Tamandua tetradactyla: one gene and its partners. The protein of the gene in region 1 purifies or fractionates together with the protein of each later gene. This does not show direct contact. Links are inferred from orthologs where the notes say so. Each region holds a gene or a part of one and is shown on either strand. Other genes may lie near its edges.

Region 1 (7,539 bases):
TTTAGAAGTAAAATGAATACATTTAATTTTATCTTCTTTCTCCCAATAAATACATGGTGCTATTTATAAATAAGGAATGAATGTAGAAAGAATGCCAGTAAATGCAAATAATTTATTATAAGGTAGTTCCAAATTAACAAACATGTATATACTGTGGATAAACACTATAGACCTGCAGCATCCAATTTAACCGAAGACCAAGAATTAGCTAAAAAGCGCACACATATACACAGAAAGATAATCTGGCTTGTCAAATGATTTACTTTTTCATCTTATTCCTGAGCCCTCTCACAAAGAGCACTACAGACAAGAAAACTGCTGTTATCAGAGAACTGATGTATTACAGCTCCTGGCCCACTTCTCTGCTCCATCTGTCCTTACCTGTTGCTTGTCTAGTGCTACCTTGAGAGTCACTACAAACATGACTTATCCTGTTTGCCCCTACTTTTGATTCTAAGTGTAAGCCATAGCAAATGGAACAGATGAATAGAATCCTACCAAATGGATCCTCTCAACCCACTCCCAGAACAGTCTGGATAGCTAGAACAGCAATTCTCAAAGTGTGGTCGAGGAAGCCCTCAGGATTTGGGGGGGAAATGAGGAGCCAACACTATTGTCATCATAATACCAAGATGTTATTTACCCTGTTTACTCTCATTCTTACACAAGTGTTCAGTAGAGTCTCCCAGATACGAGATCACTGTAGACCGAATGCAGAAGCAGAGATGAGAATCCAAATCTCTTTTATTAAGCTACACATTAAAGAGACTGGCAAAACTGCAAAGCAATGGCATTCTTCTCACCAATTTTTGTTTTGGTTTTGAAAAATAGCTATTTTTTATAAAGAATATAATTATCCATGTCCCCCTGTAATGACTTTATTATTTATTTCTAAAAATAAATTAATAAATTTAAATTCTCAGTTTTAATTTATAATATGGTAGATATTGATAGATATACCCCACACAAGCTTCTTGGGACCCTCAACAATTTTTAAGAGTGTGCAGTTATCTTGAGACCAAAAAAGTCTGCTAACCTAGATGATATGGTGGATAGATATTGGATTAGAGCTCAGCTGTACATGCATGTGCAGATTTGGAGAAACACACACCTTCCAATCTACTTATTTATACAGTGGTTACTTCAGGGGGAAAAATCCTATCAGATTTTAAAAACCAAGTTTTATTTAAATCCACTAGAGAGAACTAGGTTGCAAAAGACTCTTATTGAAAATCATAGACCAGAAGGGAACCCCCTCACCGAAAGTTACAAAAGCTAGAAAGGGGTGGAACTGGGACCAGAACCCAATAATTTTGTTGAAAAACAAAATTATCACTTTTACTTGTCATAAAATGGAATTACCATCTATCAGCTCTCTGAAAACCAAGTACACCTGTGGTGCTTACAGCTTCAAAGGGCCATACTGGTATCAATCATATTTGATTTCTATAGTTATTAAATTCAAGTCAGCATTTTGGACATTAGTCACCTAAGAGTGGCACCAGTCATAAATGGTAAACTCTGACGTGATTAGGAATAGACTTTTCCCTTTATAATTTCTTTTTAAGTGAGTTTTTTTTCCATTACAAACCTAACATATATACTGGATAAAAATTAGAAATACCTTTCTAAAATTAGAAATACCAGACTTAAAAGGCTAGCTTAGGACTTCAGCTATAACATGCACATACCAAGGAGTATTTCAGGCAGTTAGTTGGCTGATTACTACAATTACTCCTCTTGTAAGCCAGTTAAAAGAATCATGAGTGCTGTTAAATGAAGTATTATAATAACTCTTGGGACGGGCAACAAATTTGTATGGATGAGGGTAAATAGAAGAGAGGGGGATAAAGGAAAAGAGACAAATTAGACTTCAAGTACTATTTTAGCTATTGCTTTGTACACCCTTCAACTATCAAGGGAAAAGCCCTGCTTCTGCTCTATGGGTTTTCTGCGTGTGTTTTAACTTGACGAAGCAAAACAGACCTCCTGGGACTAACTTTTTCCTTTTCACTGTAGATCACAGGTTCGTTCTTTACGTGTAGGGTGTTGGCCACCTGTTCTTCAACCACCATCTCTACCTCCACCTCCTCCTTTGTAGCCACAGCAATGTCACAGCCCATACATGGGGGAGGGGAGCAGTCAGGAACTCGGCTGCAGATGCATTTTTTCCAAACACAATAACCTCAGACAGTGGTCTCAAAGCACTTTTCTATGCTCTTCCAAACCGTGATCTCTCTTTACCCACACATCCCCTACAAACTGGAAAGGACCACTATCCATCCACCGTACGCTCGAGGGAGAAGTTTAAACCTTCGTCCTAGAGATGCTAGATGCAGCAGAGAAGACAGAAACCGAGGCGGTCGAGCGCTGGGAAGGGAGGAAGAGGTGCGGGAGCCGGGAGAGGGAAGGACGACGAGGGGGAGGGGAGACGGCAGCGCATCAGTAGTAACCACCAGAGCACCCCACCGCCCCACCGGGCAGCTGACCCGGCCCGCGAGTTTCTCCCCGGCCGCCTCCAGCCGCGGCTCTCGGGGAGGAGGAAGGAAGGGGTTCCCCGTCCAGGAAGCAGCAGAAGCGGCGGCCGCCTCTAGCCTCACCCTTCTCAGCCCCGCACCGCCCATTCCTCACTGCCCGCGTCGCCGCGTCCCCGCGCCTCCCCCTGCAGACCTCCGCCCGCCCACCCGCCCGCGGGGACTCCGCGCTGGCGCCCCCTCCCCGCCTCTCCGGAGACCCCTAATTCATTCAGTAGCCGCCGGCCCCACCCGGCGCCGGCGAAAAGGGTCGGGACTGGGGTAGGGGCCCAGAGAGGGTGGTTCGCGCCTTACCTCTCTCCCGCACCTGGGAGCAGCCGAGCCTCTGGCCCCTGCCCGCCGCCTTCAGAGCCTCTGCCTCACTGCTAGCTTCCAGTCCGAAATGGCGGGGGCCCGGAGTACTGGCCGAGCAGCCGCCACCGCCGCCGCCACCGCCGCCGCTGCCTGAGCCGCCGCGGCCGCCGCCTAGGAAAATCGAGCGCCGAGCACACTAATGAGTTCGGGGCCGGGCGGCCGCAGAGGGCAGAGCTATCGATGTGTTCCGCGCTCGATTCCTCTTCAGGCCAGCTTGCGGAGAGAGAGCGGCCGAGGGTGGTGTGGGAAGAGGGAAGAGAGGGAGTCGGCGAGCGCCGCGGCGAGGAGGGGGAGGCCAGGCCGGTGGAGGAGGCCGGAGGCTGGACGGGTGTAAGGGGAAAAGATAGAACGGCCCTGTGGTGGGGGTGGGGGGGCTAGGTGGCCGTGGGTGGTGCCTCGCTGGGAGGTGGGGCTTCTGGGGCTGCGCGCCTACCCGCACCCCACTCCTTCCCGCCTCCTAGCCAGGCACCCGCAGGTTCGGACCCGGACGGAACTGCAGTGGTTACCTGCACGCCAGAGACGTCTGAGCGATCGCAACGCACCACTTACACAGAGAGGCTACAAAAATCCTGTCATCCCTCGGATCGGCCAACAACCGTGCACCTTGAATTACCATCATTTATTGCATGTAAATAAGGGAGTCACCAAATGTGAAAAGTGGCTTCAGTGACTTAGGAAGAAACTAAGCATTCATTACCCATCCTGGGGCTTTCTGATCACTTCATGATTATTGCGAAGATCAGCACTCAGAGGCTGGGAATCTAGTCCCAGGCTCAACAAACATGACATGTGACAAACCTTTTAGTCACTAATCTTAATGGGGGGGGGGGGGGGCGGGGGAAGAAAATGTCTTTCTTGACATTTTTGAGGCCATCAGAAGATCGCTCCAAAACGGGACCTCAAATGTAACCCAATGCCATGAAAGCCCAAGCAGAACACAAACTGTTCTTAAGTAGAAGTGCCCTTGACAGTTAAGGCCTAAAGAGAATCATTCAAACATTAATTAGAAGACTGAAGATTAATCAGTTAAGTTCATGAGTTATCCACATTAAACAAGGTAGCGATTAAAAATGTAAACCTATCCCTAGTCTGCTCTGATTAGATACCTAGAAACATAAATTGTTCTGGAGAATTTTGAAGATTCAGGCGTGGCAAACCAGCACCTATACTTAATATGATCACTCCTCTGAGTTCCAGATCTCTCCCCCTAGTTCATATCATCCAATACCAATAAAATAATTTTTTTTTAAGTTCCAGCTATTATGTCTGTTAAACAATGCCTTACACCAGCTGTCACCCTTTACTTCCTACCGTTTACATGGACTGTTAATCAGCAAGGCTTATTCCTGTCTCCCTTGCCTAGCACCCTGGTACCAGGTAGAAGAGGCAACAGAGAAGAAGCAGAAGGCCAGGAAGGGAAAAGAGTGTGCCTGATCTATAACAAGTATTTGCTAAATGTATAAATAAAGTATTGCAACAATTTCATTGAGTAGAACATTTTTTCTCTATTTTACAGGTGAGGAAACAAATTTGGAGAAGTTAAATATTGAGCTCAAGTTCACACAGCTAAAATGGGACGTATCTTTATGTCAGATCATGTACTCCTGCTCCTAACTCCCCACTGGCCCCCTTGCACTTAACACAAAAGTTCAAGTCCTTTCAAAGACTTAAAAAGCCTGAGAGATTTAACCCCACCCCCCCACTCCTTACCTCTCTGAACTCTCACTCTACTATTCTTCCCTTCCTTCCTCCTGTGAACACACACACTGTTTCCTTGCTGTTCCTTGAACCCTTCAGGCAGGCTTCTTCTGCAGGGAATTTGCATTTGCAACCCGCCATCTGGAACATTTGTCCACTATATATCCACAAAACTTACTCCTTCACCTATTATAAATCTTTGTTCAATGCCTTCTTTTAATGAAGTCTTCCCTAAAGATCATCTTTGATATTGAAATTTCCCCCTCTACCCTCAAATCCTTTCTCTCCACCTGCTTTACTGTTCTCCAGAGCACTCATCACATTCTGATGTACCATATAACATTTATCTTTGTCTCTTTCCCATCAGAATGTGAAGTTCAGTGAGCACAGGGATTTTATGTTTTACTTACTGCTATGTTTCCAGTGCCTACGACAGTCTCTGACACAAATAAGTCACTCAGTAAATATTTATAGAATGCAAAATGAATGAGGCCTTCCTTCTAAACTCTGACTCCACTTGAACAGAGTCACTTTCTGTCATCTCCGTCTTACAAAAGTCAACCTTTAAACTCATCCAGGTCACCTTTCTGATAAACCACACGCTAAGGAGCCTAGAAAAGTGCCTGGTACACAATGTACACAATTAATTTGTATAAAGTGAATGAATTTGCACTTATTTATATGTTGCTTGGTACTGTAGAACATTTATTTTGTGCAACTTCAAGTACATGGTAAGCTTTTGTATTCTCTCTCAGTAGCTAATAGAGTTCTCCCTATAGTTGATGTTCCATAAATCTTAAAAGGACTATAGTTTAGAGGGAGGAAATAGCTTTATATAGCACTTTACGCTAATTATAAACATTCTGGCATTAGCAGAAACCTAATCCGTCCACATGGTCTCATTATATCTAGAATCTCTAGGCTCATGATTCCCAAAGCAAATCTGTGCCCCACTATTCCCTCATGCACCCTACACTCCAACTTCACCTCTTCTGTTTTGCTCCCTCAGCGTTCAGTCCTGCATGCTTTTTAAGGAGCCAAAAGCCCGACCACCACCATTGCTCCCTTTCTTTCTTTACACAGAACTTAGAGCAGTGGTTCTCTAACTTCAGTGCTTCTTGAATCATCTGAGATGCTGGTTAGAAACTCAAACGCTTAGGCTCACTAGAGAGTCCATCCAGTTAGTTTAAGGTGGGCCAGAAATCTTTAACGATTGAGGGGATGTTAGACTGTTGGTTAGCAGTCTGCCCTTTGAGAAACTCTGATGTAGATATTCAAATTCTTCTCATCTCCTCTTGATATCTGTACTTTCTGCTGTCTTTCGGGGTTCCTCTCCCCCAAGCCTGGCCACTGTGTTGAATAGTCTCCCTGGCTCTCCTTTTCTTTGCTCTCCCCAAGGACAATCACACAGACCTGTACTATTATCACAGTGGGAAAAGAGAAAGAGAATAACAAACAAGTATAAACATGGGAATTCCAGGTTGCCCTAAGATGTAACTGAAGTTTCTACTGTTATACTCTTGTGCAAAAGCAGCTACATACACACGTGCACATATGCATATCGTTCTGATCCTGTTTTATGGAGATCATGGTGACCCTTTCCTTCATGTGATAGATACCCCCTTCTGTACATACACAAACTTCAAAACAATAGAAATAACCTTGGGTTAGCTTGGCTCTTCTGGGATATAAAAGGCTGAGATATATTCAGAGTGCTGCAGATGCCAAAGGATTGTTTTAAGGAAACAAGGACATTTTAGAAAACTAGACCATCAGTCAGGGAACTTCTGTTCAGTTCAGGGGTCAACTTCAGTTCTTGTGACCCCAAAGTCCCATTCATCCCCTTCAATAAAAAGCATCTATTGCTCCTTCTTTAGTAGTTTTTCTATTCTCATGAATCAGCATCTCTCTGCTTTTTCATCTATAATCTCAGCTTCTTCTGCTGTCTATGCTTCTACTGACCACTCTCTGTGACTTACATTCAAAAGATCCCTAGAGAAAGGATTTAGCTGCAAATGTCGATCATTATACAAAAGGAAGGTTCTTTATGGGATGCAATTTTCTTTGACAGGCTGCCTGACTGGTGGTTGGACTTCTTTATGTTTGGTGGAGACCATTGCCTTTGTTTATTTGTGAATCTTGGGACCAGAATAGCAGTGCACAGACCAGGGAACTTACACTGGAGGAGCCAACTGTGGAGGTTCTCATGGATTCCACTTCAGAACAACCTCTTTTCTCAGGTGGCTAATTTGTACCACTGAGTAGGTGCTATTTAGTTCTCTTACCCAAGACATTATCTCCTCTGGAAACTTATTTCATTAGACTTTGTCTTCATTATTTGCATTTTCTTATAGTGCTCAGCACATAGTAGGTCCTTTATAAATATTTACTGAAATGAATGAAATTATAGCAAAACCTCAGCCCTGTCTTCTCATAGTTCCTTCATTCTCCTCTGGCCAATTTCCTGGACCATTTCTAAATGGAAATCCTGTCATCATCTCAGATGCCAGTCCAAAATCAAATTCTCCATTTTAGCCTCCCAGCCTAATTCCCTCTCCTATTTTTTCCATCTTACTTGAGTAACATCACTGTCCTTAAAATCATTTAAACTAGGAAACAAATTAATTTCTAACTAAGTCCCCATTCACATTGACTATGGCACCTTTTAATTATACTTTCCAGGTATTTTCTCATATCTGCCTCTTTCTGCACTCCTTCCTTCACACCTGCTTTTCTAGAACAGCTTCCTCACTGACTTCCCCACCTCCTGGCTTTCTGTTTTTCAATTCAGACCATATGCTTTTGCTGAATTAATCTTCCTTACACGTTTCTTTCATCATTATCAAACATTTACTCAGCACCTACTCCATACAAACTGCACACATGATGAATTTTTAAAGTATAAAGAGCTACAAGCTAAGTATCTAGTGAGTGCCAAAGATGATAAGGACCT
Region 2 (7,309 bases), on another chromosome or scaffold:
TACTTTTATACTCATATTGAATGGCTTTACCTGTTAGCTAATCTGTTCTGATAGGAAGAAAGAACAATGGCTGTTGATGAGTCAGGTAACCTACCACAGCAAATTAGCACAAAGATGTAACAACTGCTTTGTTAAGCAAAAGCCAGATGATGTCAAAGGACATTGTATGAATAAAGGTTTCACTAATCTTAAACAGAGAAAAGTGGTAGGAGAATTGAGTCATTATCACAGGGTGAAGGCAGTATATAGGTATGTGGAATCCAAAAGGAGCTACACTGTATTCATGGAAGGTATTTGCTCGCAGAAATCTCATCTTATATATTTCATCCTGCAATAGTTCAGCAGTAGTAAGGGCAGGAGCAATTAACATGGAAATAACTTTCCATATTGTATCATGGGGCAACCTATTGAATAAATGGTTTGAATGAAAAATTAAAATGAAAGTTAATTAAATTTAATCAATTAAACCAACATTAGAAGTCCTCAACAATGTTTTTCTTTTTACAAGGGACCACATTACTCCTGTTTGAGAAAACTACCTTAAGATAATAGATGGAGGGAGCTAAATTCTATGAAGAACTGGGCTAGGAACCAGTGCTTTGCCCAGTGAATAAGTTATAGTCGCTTGAAATGGGCAGAGAAAATTATTAAAAAGCCTCACTTCTAAGAAATAGAGCAAAACAGGATTTATGCAAACATTTTCTCAGTAGCTGCCCTCACCTCAGGCAATTCTTCCTAACAAAGCCCTACCCAAGTCCCTCATCAATCAACAACTTCATTAGTTTTTTTTTTTTTTTTAATTTAAAAGATTTTATAGGAAATTTAGTAAATTTCAAACTACAGTTTTTTTTTGTTACCTTGTTTCAGGTGCAATACACTTCAATGATGATGGCGGTTACTAGAGGAAACAGTAATTATTCCTGGGAGAAACAGTTTATTTTCATGACTGGCACTTTGCCATAAAATGCTGTTCTTTTTTAGCTGTTTTTGTTCCTTTGATCTTTGATTGTTTTTGTTCCTTCTCCCAACCCATAGAAATTCTCTGTGGTTCTGGTCTTGGATCACTTCTTTCCACTTCTCAGGGACCTCATTTATTCTCACAGTTTCAAGTATCCTTGATATTGTCAGAATCAATATAATTATTTATGATGTCAGAATCAATATAATTCTTTACGTTATTTAACAAATCCTATTGTACTTACCATGAGCCAGGAATCACGCTTCTAAGTATTAGGGGTCACATGAATACAATAGGAAGGGTTCCTTAAGTTTCCACATATCCAACCGACATGTCTTCTTGGCCATTTCCTCATGGAACCCCAAATTCAACATGCCCCAAAGTGGGGTCTTTATCATCTTCCCCCAAATCTGTTTCACATTTCTGTAAATTGCACATCTCTTCATTCAGTTCCCCTGGGACTCACTCCCTATAAATGATTCCCAGTTCTTGCAAATTGGGAAAATCTGCAGTTCTTGCAAAGTTCTTGCCACCTAATCCCAACTTTCCACACTTGGCACACTGCCTTCACTCAGACTTTCTACCTCTTTTCTCCTAGTCCTGGTAACAGCCTGCTTACTGGTCCCATATCTTCTTGGTCCTCTAAATCTATTCTCTATGCAGCTGCCAGAATGATCAGTAACAGAGCTTGATGTGGACATTCTTATATTCAAAACTCTTTAATCACCCACACCTCCTGATATAAAATCCAAACTCCTCAGTCTGGTTTATGAGGTGCATCGTGACCTGTTTCTGCCCACATTCTTTCCTCTACGTTCTAGTCCTTGGCATTTGCATTCTACTAATATTGAACTACCAGTAGTTCCCCAAACACATACTGTTTCCTATCCTGCTCTGTTCTCAGCTTGGAACCCCTTTCCCTGATCTCTCTCTCCCTAGCTAGCTTTTTAGAGTTCCTTCAACATACATCAGTATTCTTATTCTTCTTTGATGTCTGATGACAAAGCAGAGTGTTAAATAGAAGCACAATGAATGTGTTAACTCAACTTCTGTGCTGTTGATTTGCTGATTCTCAAATCTACATCTCCAATGACAATCTCTGGACACCACCACCTGAATATCCTATAAGCATCTGAAATGCTGTTTGCCTCAAACTAAACTGATTATCTTCTCCTTTAAGAGTAGATTTCAGAATCATACCACCTGTTTAGACCACTGTGAGCTGTGAGGCACAATGCTAGGGGACACCTTTACATTATAGTTCATGTAAATATTCCATTTGAATATTATGCAACCCGATGGTTCTGCTACCCAGGTTAGAAGCTGACTTCAATGGATGTTAGCTGTGACCTTGTACAATTTCCCAAATTTCTTAGGCATCAGGTGCCTCATCTGCAAAACAGGTAGTACTCAATAAATGTTTGTCATTATTTTTAACCTAGAACCTGCGTATCCTCCAATGTCCCCTATCCCATTGGTTAATGGCATCACCCTTGATTATGTTGCCAAGATAAGAAACCTAGGATTTAACCTACCCCTTCTTCTTATCTTAAATCCTGTAGAAATAACCCTTGTATATCTTCTCTGCTTTCCATCCCTGCTGCCAATACCCTATGATGGTTCTGAGTCTTCTCTTGTCTGAATCTTTGCAGTAGCCTCTTAGCTGTTCTCTTTGCCTTTATGTCCTAATTATTAAGTTCACCCATCACACAGCTGCCAGAGCAATTTTCCTAAAACACAGTTCAAATAATTTAATTCCACATCCCCCAAATCTTCAGTACATTCTAATATTTATTAGGCAATTTTCCCATGCCATTTACTGGCTAGGTTCTGGTACTACAAAGACAAATAAAACAGGAATAGTCCTTCCCAGACAGACTACTAGTGAACAAACGAGGACAACATAATGAGATATGTGTCAAAATAGAGCTACAGATATGTATCAGGTCCTGTAGGAGGATAAAAGAGAAAAGCCTCTACCCCATTTTGGTAATTTTACTATTATCTGGGGAAGGAGATTCCATAAACATACATACACAAGTGTGCAACAGATTTTTTCTTTTCTCAGAACTATCCTCCTATTTAAATTTTTTATATAACCAAGGGGTTGTTGATCTTTCCTTGGGCCTAGATAACCCTTTTGGCTCTTTTTATGGGGGTGGGGTGGGGTGGGGGGTAAGGAGGTGCAAGGGCCAGGAATTGAACCCAGGTTTCCTGTATGGCATGTGAGAGTTCTACCACTGAAGTACCTGTGGACCCCACTCTTTTGTTTCTTAAATGAAACAAAATAAACCCAAGGGCCCAGCCCATGGCCTGGTGCATGGTGAATACAATAAATGGTCATTTTCTTCTGGCTGAAGTGTGGCTGTGTGCTTTTGTTTAGTCTGATCATAGCAATAAACATCCAGCATTAAGCCCAAAACAACTCCCTCCCCTACGGCCCCCCACCACTGAAAATGAGTAATGCCAAATAATTGCTCAGCCTTGGAGAAAGAAAAAGTAACTACAAAAATCATTACTTTTGCAAGGTAGGATGAAAAATACCAAAAAAATTGGAAATGCTCAGCCAGCATGACACAGCACTTCCCATTTCTTATCCACGCTATAACTCCAAGGGAGTTAATAAGATGGGGGAGGGGTAGAAGCCCAGAAAAGGGGACACTAGATTATTTATTAAACACTGACTGACTGAGTTCCTCTATCAGGTATTGTTGTGACCTGGGGACACAGAATGGATGTGATCCAAGTACACTATCCTCCAGAAAGTCTAAAAGCAAAAGGAAGCTATGTAAACAAGTAAAACAGCTTAAAAGGTTTTTCCCCCTCCTTTGATACATGGACTATATTGCTTGGGCACAATGGAGGGAATATCAATTCTGGGGACGACCAAAGTTTAGGAACAGCTTCAGAGAAGGTAAAACTTGAGCTAAGTCTTGAAAGACTTTTTCTCTGGGCCAGTTAGGAAGCAACAGGCTCTTCAGGCTTGAACAAAATTCTAAAGGGTTGCAACAGTTCACATCGTTCAGAATTATAATTCAGGAGGACTAAGAGAGTAATAATAAATAATAGCTAACGTTTCTAATGTATACTAAGAGCTAGGTACGGTGATAAGTAATTTACGCAGATAGCTAATATCAGTTAATCTTCACAACAATACCATGAAATATTAATATTACTCCCAATTTTGCAGGTCAGAAAAAGTGAGGGTTAGCAGAATTAAGAATCCTACCCCAAGGTCACACAAAACGATAGTAGCTTTAATTCAAGGAACTGACTACAGAGCCCCAGTTTTTTTAACCACAAGTCAGAAGAGTGACATGATCAGATTTCACAAAGATTCCTTCCAGCCGCAGAGTAAGGGATGCATGGGAGATGGAAAGCAGCAAGCCTGTGATCTGGGTGAACGACGAAGGAGGGTGTCTCAAAAGTTAACAACGGTGAGGAATCTGGCAGAAGCTTCGGGGACCGAGACGGATTTGAAAAACATTTAGTTAATGTTCTCCGGGCTTGGTGAGGAACTGCCTTGGTCCTCCGTGGCAGCAGCGAGGACTTTTAACCAGGTTTGGGCCCTGAGGGCACAGCGCGCCGGGGTTCCAGAAGCAAGGGAATTGCACCTACCTCCCTATTCCCGCCCCGCAGACATCCTAAATTTAACGAAGGCTTTTGGGTTCCGGGCGGACGAGAAAAGACCACGCTCTCGCACATCAACAATAAACGGCGGGAAAAGGTGATTGATGGTTTCCGCGCTCACACCGCCCCCGGCAAGGAAAATGCTGAGTCATTCTAGCGGGGTGGGGGTGGGGGGCGGGGCGCAGGGCAGAAACCCCCTCCTTATCTCCTCTTCTCGCACCCCCGACCCGTTTCGACTCTCGCGAGAGCCTCACAAGTTATATAGACAGCGCCCCGCGCGGACTTTGCGCGTCCTCTTCCCGGCTGTTCTGCGTAGCTTTCTTTGGGTATTTGGTGAGTAAGTCCACCGCGTCCTCGGTGGGGCCGAGCGTCACTCACCCCCCCCACCCCACCCCACCCCCGCCGCCGCCTCCCCTTCTCCTTGGGGCTTGCACGGGCTCCTCTGGAGGTGTTGTGGTGGTTTAGGCGGCCGGGGGAGAGCCTGGCGTCCTACGATCCTCGGGCGACATGCGCACCTCCCACGTGGGCCCCCCCCTCGAGGGTTGGTTGAAGATGGAGACTTTCGCCGGCTCCAGTATTCGCTTATTCCGAACTGGGGGCGCTGGTTGGCTTGGAGGGGCGGGGTGTGTAGTGGGGCAGCTCTCCTCGACTGGCCTCCCGAGGGGCGGGGCGGGTTCGGGAATCTTCTAGAATGAACCTGGAACCTAACCTGTGGCTGCAGAGGGCTGCCTTTTCTTGTTGGTCGTGTGGTAGGGTAAACGCCATTTCCTGCTCTGAGCTGTGACTTGGCTGTGGAGCCTTGAGTACCTTGCATCCCTTTTCGTTCATCATGTTCCCATCTGCAGAGTGAGATGTGTTTTAGATAATTCCACATGCTGTCGCTGAAGACTGCGCACTCTTATGCTGGAGCTTTCCGAAGTGGATTTAGGGGTGTGGCCCTGGCCTAAGTTATTGGGCAGATCCCCTGAGGGGGCTGCACCGGTGGGAAGTCGAGCAGCCTTTACCCTTCGGCTGGGGGTGGGGTGGTGGGGGCGCACCTTCAAAAGTAGGTTTGGATGAGGCTATATTTGTTAGGGTCACACCCCGTAGTTTGGTTTCCTATTTGCAGCGAGCCTTACTGTTTCTTTGAAAGGGTGTTACAAGATTAAAAAAACAAAAGAAAAAACAGGCAGTAACAAGTGTCCCATGGTCGATCCTCGGCGTTCTTACCTAGTTTCTTTTGGCTCTCTTATTATGAACCAAGAGCTTCAGGACCTACTGGAAAAATAGGGTCTTGGGACTTTCAAACAGATAATTTGCTGGGTTGAAGCTTATCCTCATTATCTTGGTGTTGACCTGGGTAAGTCTAGTGCAACATTGTTTTTTATCAGTGAACTGGTTTTTGCTCTACTTACTTTCCCCCCATGATTTTGGCCTTGAGGTCAGAAACCCACTTTTGAAAGGACTTCTAGGGCTAAACAGAAGACAAGACCAAAATCCTGGTCTTGCCTCTTAAAAAGTCAGGTTGGCTTTAAGGTGTGGATTTGACACACTGGCCTAGGAAACAGTTCATTCGGGCTTCACGCTTTATGAAGGCACGTGGAGGCAAATTCTGGAGAAAGGGTAATATGACCACGTTAGACATTCAGTGTGCCATTGTCCATATAGATTCTGGTTTGAGGGTCTGCACTTCCTTTTCTTTGCTTCTGTTCAGTAATGCAGAAGAAATGCCATTTCATAAATTGATGGTTCAGAAAAAGTGATAGGGGTGACGTCAACCTATAAAAAAATTATTGTTTTAAGTGAAAACAAAGACTGAGATTCAGACTTGTAATAACTGGTTTGTTCCAAAAGCGGAAAGCTCAGATTCTGGTCCTTCCATTGTGTCCCCTGGCTGCTGGTTTGTTCTTTAAAAGAGAAAAACAAACAATTAGTGCATGTATCTAGAGCCAGTGGATAATTCCTTGCTTTTTCTGCAGCTAAATCCCTAAGTAAATGAAGGCTGCTGGTTTAAGTTTGTTTCTGATTAATCCATTTTCTCTAATTTGTCTTTTGCAGCTGATAGCAAGATGTCTTCAGGAACTGCCAAAATTGGGCACCCTGCCCCCAACTTCAAAGCCACAGCTGTTATGCCAGATGGTCAGTTCAAAGATATCAGCCTCTCTGATTACAAAGGTAAGAGTAGTTACATTGGACTTATTAAAATGGAATTATTTTATAATTTAGGGATGGCTAGTTGGATTTCTGTATCTCTGTTATACTCAGTTGTAAAATACTTTGTATCTCCTAGGTCAAGGTGCTTAAGTGAAGTGATGATCACATGATAAACAGTGATCACAGGGTAACTATCCTAGGTCTAGGCATCTGCTGGAGAAAGCACATGCTTCATTATGTATCACATATTAGCTCAATTTGATTTCTTAGTTACTCTTTCTTAATTGTGTAATTGGGGAAAAATTATCATTATTAACTCATTATAAGAGGCTTTCCACATTTTAAATTTGATTGCATCTGGACCTTTAAGTCTATGAAGCTGTGATACTACTTGTTCAGTAGTGATTGTAAAATGTGTGTCACAGCTGCTACATTATTAGGCAGAGGGCTGAGGACCAATCCCTTCACTATTTTGCCACCAAAAGAAAAGCCGATGTCACAGAACAGTTTCCCTTTCTGTTGTCATAGTTTCATGCAGACATTTGGCAAACTCGAAAGAGGTTTTCCATTTCATTGTCGTGCAGTCCC
Region 3 (7,834 bases), on another chromosome or scaffold:
AAGGCATCAAAATTGGGAAGGAAGAAGTAAAACTATCACTGTTTGCAGACGATATGATACTATACGTCGAAAACCTGGAAAAATCCACAACAAAACTACTAGAGCTAATAAATGAGTACAGCAAAGTAGCAGGTTACAAGATCAACATTCAAAAATCTGTAGCATTTCTATACACTAGCAATGAACAAACTGAGGAGGAAATCAAGAAATGAATCCCATTTACAATTGCAACTATAAGAATGAAATACCTGGCGGGCCGCGGTGGCTCAGCGGGCAAGAGTGCTTGCCTGCCGTGCCGGAGGACCCCGGTTCGATTCCCGGCCCCAGCCCATGTAAAAAAAAAACAAACAAACAAACAAAATATAATAAAAAAAAACAAGAAAATGTTTAAAAATGTTTCCCTTTCTTCCTCCCTTCCTTCCTTCCATCCTTCCTTCCTTCTCTGTCTTTCCTTCCCTTCCTCCCTCTCTCTAAAAAAAAAAAAAAAAAAAAAAGAATGAAATACCTAGGAATAAATTTAACTAAAGAGACAAAAAACCTATATAAAGAAAACTACAAAAAACTGCTAAAAGAAATCACAGAAGAACTAAATAGATGGAAGGGCATACCGTGTTCATGGATTGGAAGACTAAATATAGTTAAGATGTCAATCCTACCTAAATTGATTTACAGATTCAATGCAATACCAATCAAAATCCCAACAACTTATTTTTCAGAAATAGAAAAACCAATAAGCAAATTTATCTGGAACGGCAGGGTGCCCCAAATTGCTAAAAACATCTTGAGGAAAAAAAACGAAACTGGAGGTCTTGCGCTGCCTGACTTTAAGGCATATTATGAAGCCACAGTGGTCAAAACAGCATGGTATTGGCATAAAGATAGATATATCGACCAATGGAATCGAATAGAGTGCTCAGATATAGACCCTCTCATCTATGGACATTTGATCTTTGATAAGGCAGTCAAGCCAACTCACCTGGGACAGAACAGTCTCTTCAATAAATGGTGCCTAGAGAACTGGATATCCATATGTAAAAGAATGAAAGAGGACCCATATCTCACACCCTATACAAAAGTTAACTCAAAATGGATCAAAGATCTAAACATTAGGTCTAAGACCATAAAACAGTTAGAGGAAAATGTAGGGAGATATCTTATGAAACTTACAATTGGAGGCAGTTTTATGGACCTTACACCTAAAGCAAGAGCACTGAAGAAGGAAATAAATAAATGGGAGCTCCTCAAAATTAAACACTTTTGTGCATCAAAGAACTTCATCAAGAAAGTAGAAAGACAGCCTACACAATGGGAGACAATATTTGGAAATGACATATCAGATAAAGGTCTAGTATCCAGAATTTATAAAGAGATTGTTCAACTCAACAATAAAAAGACAGCCAACCCAGTTACAAAATGGGAAAAAGACTTGAACAGACACCTACCAGAAGAGGAAATACAAATGGCCAAAAGGCACATGAAGAGACGCTCAATGTCCCTGGCCATTAGAGAAATGCAAATCAAAACCACAATGAGATATCATCTCACACACACCAGAATGGCCATTATCAACAAAACAGAAAATGAAAAGTGCTGGAGAGGATGCGGAGAAAGAGGCACACTTATCCACTGTTGGTGGGAATGTCAAATGGTGCAATCACTGTGGAAGGCAGTTTGGCGGTTCCTCAAAAAGCTGAATATAGAATTGCCATACGACCCAGCAATACCATTGCTGGGTATCTACTCAAAGGACTTAAGGGCAAAGAAACAAACGGACATTTGCACACCAATGTTTATAGCAGCATTATTTACAATTGCAAAGAGATGGAAACAGCCAAAATGTCCATCAACAGAAGAGTGGCTAAACAAACTGTGGTATATACATATGATGGAATATTATGCAGCTTTAAGACAGGATAAACTTATGAAGCATGTAATAACATGGATGGACCTAGAGAACATTATGCTGAGTGAGTCTAGCCAAAAACTAAAGGACAAATACTGTATGGTCCCACTGATGTGAACCGACATTCGAGGATAAACGTGGAATATGTCATTGGTAACAGAATCCAGCAGGAGTTAGAAACAGGGTTATATAATGGGTAATTGGAGCTGAAGGGATACAGACTGTGCAACAGGACTAGATACAAAAACTCAAAAATGGACAGCACAATGATACCTAATTGTAAAGTAATCATGTTAAAACACTGAATGAAGCTGCACCTGAGGTATAGGTTTTTTTTTTACTATTATTATTACTTTTATTTTTTCTCTATATTACATTCTATATCTTTTTCTGTTTTGTTGCTAGTTCTTCTAAACCGATGCAAATGTACTAAGAAACGATGATCATGCATCTATGTGATGATGTTAAGAATTACTGATTGCATATGTGGAATGGTATGATTTCTAAATGTTGGGTTAATTTTTTTTCCGTTAATTAATAAAAATAAAAAAATAAAATAAAGAACATTAAAAAAAGGATTTTTCAAACAATGTTGCACGTAATAAAATACAATAAAGCAGATGCCACCTTACTAATCTTCTATTCATTCAGCAAATACACTTATTGAAGACCTACCATAATGTCAGACATTAGGAATAAATTAAGCAGCCAAAACAGACACGATTCCTGCCCTCAGGAATCTCAAAATCACTGGAAATAAAAACTTAAATCTCGCAAAACATAGAAATTAGCAGTAATTATTCACATTAGCAGAATCTTCCTTCTAAATGATTCATCCAACTTTGTAGTAAGCCATTCTTGACTCCTTTCTTTTATACCCTACATACACAAATCTTGTTAGCTCTACCTTCAAAACACATATACGGTTGCACCACTTAACTTTTATCATTAACTGAAGGCATCTGAGTACAATCTTCTCTCACCTGTTTCCCTTCCCAAAGATATGGAATCCTAATCCCCAAAACATGTTATTTTATGTGGTATAATGGACTTCGCAGATATGATTAAGTACCTTCTGTTGGGAAAATTATCTTGGATTATTCAGGTGGGCCCAAGGTAATCAGAAGGATCTTCATTCTTACAAAGATTTGAGGTTGCCAACCTGCCGACTTTGAAGATGAAGGGCAGGATTGGGACCCAAGGATTGCAGGTGGCCTCTAGAAACTGGAAAATGCAAGAAAACAGATTCTTTCCAAAAAGCTCCAGAAAGAATGCAGACCTACTGACACTGTGATTTCAGCTTTGTGAGACCTCTGACCTACATAACTGTTGGATAATAAATTTGTGTTTTTAACCAGTAAATTTATTACAGCGGCAATATGGAACTAACACAACCTCTTAACAGGTCTCCCTGTTTGAACTCTTTTCCCCTTCATTTTAGGGCCAAAGCAAAATACTTTTAAAACGTAAATCACATGAAGCCATTCTTCTGCTCAAAACCTTCCAAAGGTTTCCAATTTCATAAACACTCAAAATCCTTTTAAGAACCTTCACCTCTCTGAGGGAATTCTCTACTTTCTCCTACAGTTGAGAAAGCCAAATCACCTTCTTATTCCTCTGTTAATCCTGGCGTGCTCCAGCTTTGGCCCTTTCCCCCTGCTTGACATTATTCCCGCTCTGTCAAGGCTCACATCCTTGAAGTCTTCTCAAATGTCATCTTCTCAAAGAGACTCACTCCAAACTCTCTATCTAAACTTGCTAATCCTACTCAATACCCCTTATCCCTGCCCCACCTTAATTTTTTTTCCTTAGCACTTAACCACACACAAACACAACACATATCTAATTTATGATATTTATATTTAGTGCCCGTTTCCAAGGCTAGAATTTCTGTCTGCGATGTTCACTGCTGCATTCCCAGCAGTTAGGACAGATCCTAGTACACATTAAGCACTTAAAATACATTTGTTGAATGACTAAATGAACCAGGTGATAGCTCTTAGAATGAAAAAGCTGCGATTAAAATAAGATAAAATATGACCCACTAATGGAGAAAAAAAAACGAAAACTGTTAATGATTTCGAATATAAATATGACTCTCTTAAACACTGACCACATTTAAACCTATAATTTGATAGGGAATTAAAACCGCAAGCCTACAGCAAGAACGAAAATATTCCGGAAACGCAAAAAAGGCAATAAACTATTTTTCAGTTAGGAACGCAGCGGCGTTTGCCAGCATTTCAGGATTTTCTCGACGTTTTTTCCGAACACACTCGCACTTGCCTAACAGGTTTGGCAAATAAAACATTTTGCTCTTCTAAAAAACCGTAGTTGTGAGGTAGCAAATCTGGGACCAAGTCCGAAGGTGCCGAGTCGCCCTTCCCCGGCTCCCGGAATCTTTTTCGAATAAAATTCCCCCGAGCCGGGGCCTGCGGGGATTTCAGCCTTGGAAGACCGCAAGAGGCACAGCCCGCGGGCCTCAGTCCCACGAAGGCCTCGGTTAGGGGCTGGAGAGGCGTCGCGGGCGTCTGTCAGAACCCCGTGAGACCCCAAATTTCGGCGCCCGTCCTGACAGAGGAAAAATCACACCCGGGAGACCGGACCTACGTCTCAAGTGAGGAGTCCGCGATGCGTGAAACGGCTTCGCACACCTCTGCGGAACCTGATGACAGCGGCAGGCACCACCTCACGGTGCTCAAAGCCCGCGGGCTTTGGAGCACCGCCCCCAACTTGCCTCTTCCCAGCGGCGGGACTGTCCCGCACTCTAGCAAGCCGAGGCCTTACCACCAACACACCTTTCGCAAAGCCGCGACCTCTCAGGTTCGAATTCTGCGGAGCAGGGGGCGGGACGATAGGGGACGCTACGCCCAACCCGGCAGAGCTCCAACCATAAGCTGAAGCCAGAACTGCATTTCCCGTGAGGCTCTGGGCCGCCTCAGCCTTCCACCGGAAAGAGGTTCGCTGCTGTGGGGGGAGGAGCCTAAAGGGAATTGTGGGAGAAAGGCTACTTCCTTTCCGTCTGGCGGCAGCCATCAGGTAAGCTGTGGCCCGGAGGAACGCTTATCCATCCACCGCTAATCTCTTTTCGCCTCAGCCATCCAAACTCTCCTACCCTGCGTCCTCGTAGCTCCTCCTGCTTCCTGTGCGGCGCGAGTTCGGTCAGGATGCGGGGCAGTGCGGAAATGGAGAAGAATCCCCTGGGCAGGCTAGGGGTAGATGTGATGGCGGAGCGAGTTCGCGCTGGGCCCGGAGCCTGAGGGAAAGGGTGATGTCAAACTGGGGAGTGGGAAGCCGGGTCTGAGGCGCCGTGAGGCTAGAGCGATTGGTGGGGGTGGGGTAAGTGCTTTTTCTCGAGAGTTAGCGCGCGGCGGCGTCAGTATCTTCTTTGGTATCAAACCCTGGTTTACGCTGTAGCCTACCACTCCCGTTGTTACCCGCCCCTCAGTCTCCAAGCAAAGCTCCATTCATTCGTTTAGCAAAAACGTGCCTAGCGGCTCTTCTAGGACGCGGAGGTGGGGGTTGGCCTGACTCTCCCCTTCAGATCGTGAAGAGCCATTTAATTCCACTGACTTCCTTGTGCCTGGTGGGGAACTAAGATGGACGGGTGGGGGCTTCTAAATGGATGCATATTTTCTAATACCCAGTTTTATCTCAAAGGTAAGCCAAGATGGGTGCCTATAAGTACATACAGGAGCTATGGAGGAAGAAGCAGTCCGATGTCATGCGCTTTCTTCTGAGGGTCCGCTGCTGGCAGTACCGCCAGCTCTCTGCGCTCCACAGGGCCCCCCGTCCCACTCGGCCTGATAAAGCGCGCAGACTGGGCTACAAGGCCAAGCAAGGTGTGTGGTCTCTGTGCAGATGGTTGGGTGTAATTTCTTGAGAAAAGCTAGTAACTGGGGATTAGTACGAAGCACCGTCGCACAATGTCTTCACAAAAGGCTTTGGCAAAAGCCATCTTCTGGTTCAGCTAGATCCAGACTAGTAAATGACTGAACACAATTGTCTAAAATGGTGTGCCAGAGTTTATAAATCTGTATTAGACTGGTCTAAACCAACTAATGAGTGGGAGGGAGAAACTTATCTACTTCCCAAATGATTAGTAATATCCAACTCAATAATATATAGAGAACTTTGCAAGATACTGGGATGTGTGTTTTGTTTTTTATTTTTAAAGAAAACTTCATACCCTGGTTTTGAGTAGTTTTATTTCCGTAAAAGATGAAATCTATTTGGTGTTGAAGCTTTAGTGACAAGTCATTGAGTCTCCCACCCTTGAGACTTTCTTTAAAACCATAATGATCCTTTCTGTATAGGTTATGTCATCTATAGGATTCGAGTGCGCCGTGGTGGCCGCAAACGCCCGGTTCCTAAGGGTGCAACCTATGGCAAGCCTGTCCATCATGGTGTTAACCAGCTCAAGTTTGCTAGAAGCCTTCAGTCTGTTGCTGAGGTAAGTAGTTTTTATTTCAGGTAGTATTGTTAGATGGTGAGGGAGAAGGACTTGAGCAAGTTTTCTGATATTTATTTGTATAAAATAGGATTTTGGGAGCTTTACTAAGTAAAAAGCAGTTGCTGTCAGCATATGAAGACTCTGTCGCTTACCTTTCTGGTCTTAATATATAATGGGAATGTTGGGTTTTTCAATTAGTGTGAACCTGTGGAACCTTACCTTTTGAAAGATAGGAAACTGTCTTGAATAGATTCCGAAGGTCTATAGAGTCTGCATTTATTCATGTCTCTGGTCTTATTTTTCAATATTTTTTTCTGGCTTAGTCAGTTAAACTGCCCTGCTGTAGGGGTTGGCAAACCAGTGTGTGCCCCCGCCCCCCCCTTGAGCTCCCTTCTTGAAGGGTTGTGTTTTTGTTTTGTTTTTAAAAGGACAGGGGGCAATGAAGAATATGCAAGAGACCAAATATGACCTGCAAAGCCTAAAATATTTTCTGGCCCTAAAGATTTGCCAACCTCTCCCAAATTATATTAGAAAAAGATAAGGTTCCAGAATCCTGTTTTTTAGCCAGTTATTGGTACCTTTACATGCTTTAGTTAGGGAGGAGATTTTTAAATCTAAGGATGTTAGTCTGCCATACTACATTGTCACTGAACTTTTTTTTATTTCATTTTAAGTATGAAATAAAAAAGTGCTAGTCACTTGGGGGATACTTAGTAAATATTTGAGTAGCCTAGTGTACAATTGCAGTTTCTTGTATAATGGTAAACTAGTTAGAATTCTAGCTTTCTAATTGCCACTGTGAGATATGTGAGTAACCTTGTGCCTGTTTTCCTATTCTAGGAGCGAGCTGGACGCCACTGCGGGGCGCTGAGAGTCCTGAATTCTTACTGGGTTGGTGAAGATTCCACATACAAATTCTTTGAGGTTATCCTCATTGATCCATTCCATAAAGCTATCAGAAGGAATCCTGACACCCAGTGGATCACCAAGCCAGTCCACAAGCACAGGGAGATGCGTGGGCTGACATCTGCAGGCCGCAAGAGCCGTGGCCTTGGAAAGGGCCACAAGTTCCACCACACAATTGGTGGTTCTCGCCGTGCAGCTTGGAGAAGGCGCAATACTCTCCAGCTCCATCGTTATCGCTAATATAAGTAAAGTTTGTAAAATTCATACCTAATAAACAATTTAGGACAGTCATGTCTACTTAAAAGTGTTCTTTGTTAAACAGTAGTTGTCTGCAGATTGTTTCATGAATATATATATATTGTCAAATTATGAAAGTTAAAGTGCAATAATGTTTGAAGACTATAAGGTGATGGTGTATCTTGTTTCTAATAAGATAATCAATTTTGTTTTTGCGTTATCTTATTAGGGAGTTATATGTCAGTGTTTTAAGATGCCATGCTGTGTGGTATTGGTGTAAAATAAATACTTTGAAAGAAGAGCACTGAAACTAGCTCTTTATATAGATTTGTTTG

The links. Proteins that work in one complex are often made in the same cells at the same time.
Region 2: the proteins of KRAS (region 1) and PRDX1 purify together in Homo sapiens (affinity purification with mass spectrometry; 3 studies listed by BioGRID and IntAct, with this or other methods). This does not show direct contact. The link is inferred for Tamandua tetradactyla from reciprocal best matches to the Homo sapiens genes KRAS and PRDX1.
Region 3: the proteins of KRAS (region 1) and RPL15 purify together in Homo sapiens (affinity purification with mass spectrometry; 3 studies listed by BioGRID and IntAct, with this or other methods). This does not show direct contact. The link is inferred for Tamandua tetradactyla from reciprocal best matches to the Homo sapiens genes KRAS and RPL15.

The regions. Positions count from the first base shown.
Region 1 is NC_135333.1:88,116,129-88,123,667, forward strand, and holds the start of KRAS (GTPase KRas), read right to left. Parts: upstream 3,003-7,539; 5' UTR 2,829-3,002; intron 1-2,828. UniProt on the Homo sapiens protein: Ras proteins bind GDP/GTP and possess intrinsic GTPase activity. Plays an important role in the regulation of cell proliferation.
Region 2 is NC_135328.1:177,773,815-177,781,123, forward strand, and holds the start of PRDX1 (peroxiredoxin-1), read left to right. Parts: upstream 1-4,289; 5' UTR 4,290-4,395; intron 4,396-4,791; exon of another isoform or gene 4,792-4,921; intron 4,922-6,625; 5' UTR 6,626-6,636; coding exon 6,637-6,742; intron 6,743-7,309. UniProt on the Homo sapiens protein: Thiol-specific peroxidase that catalyzes the reduction of hydrogen peroxide and organic hydroperoxides to water and alcohols, respectively.
Region 3 is NC_135341.1:64,395,697-64,403,530, reverse strand, and holds RPL15 (large ribosomal subunit protein eL15), read left to right. Parts: upstream 1-4,814; 5' UTR 4,815-4,942; intron 4,943-5,040; exon of another isoform or gene 5,041-5,064; intron 5,065-5,563; 5' UTR 5,564-5,573; coding exon 5,574-5,745; intron 5,746-6,219; coding exon 6,220-6,356; intron 6,357-7,196; coding exon 7,197-7,502; 3' UTR 7,503-7,553; downstream 7,554-7,834.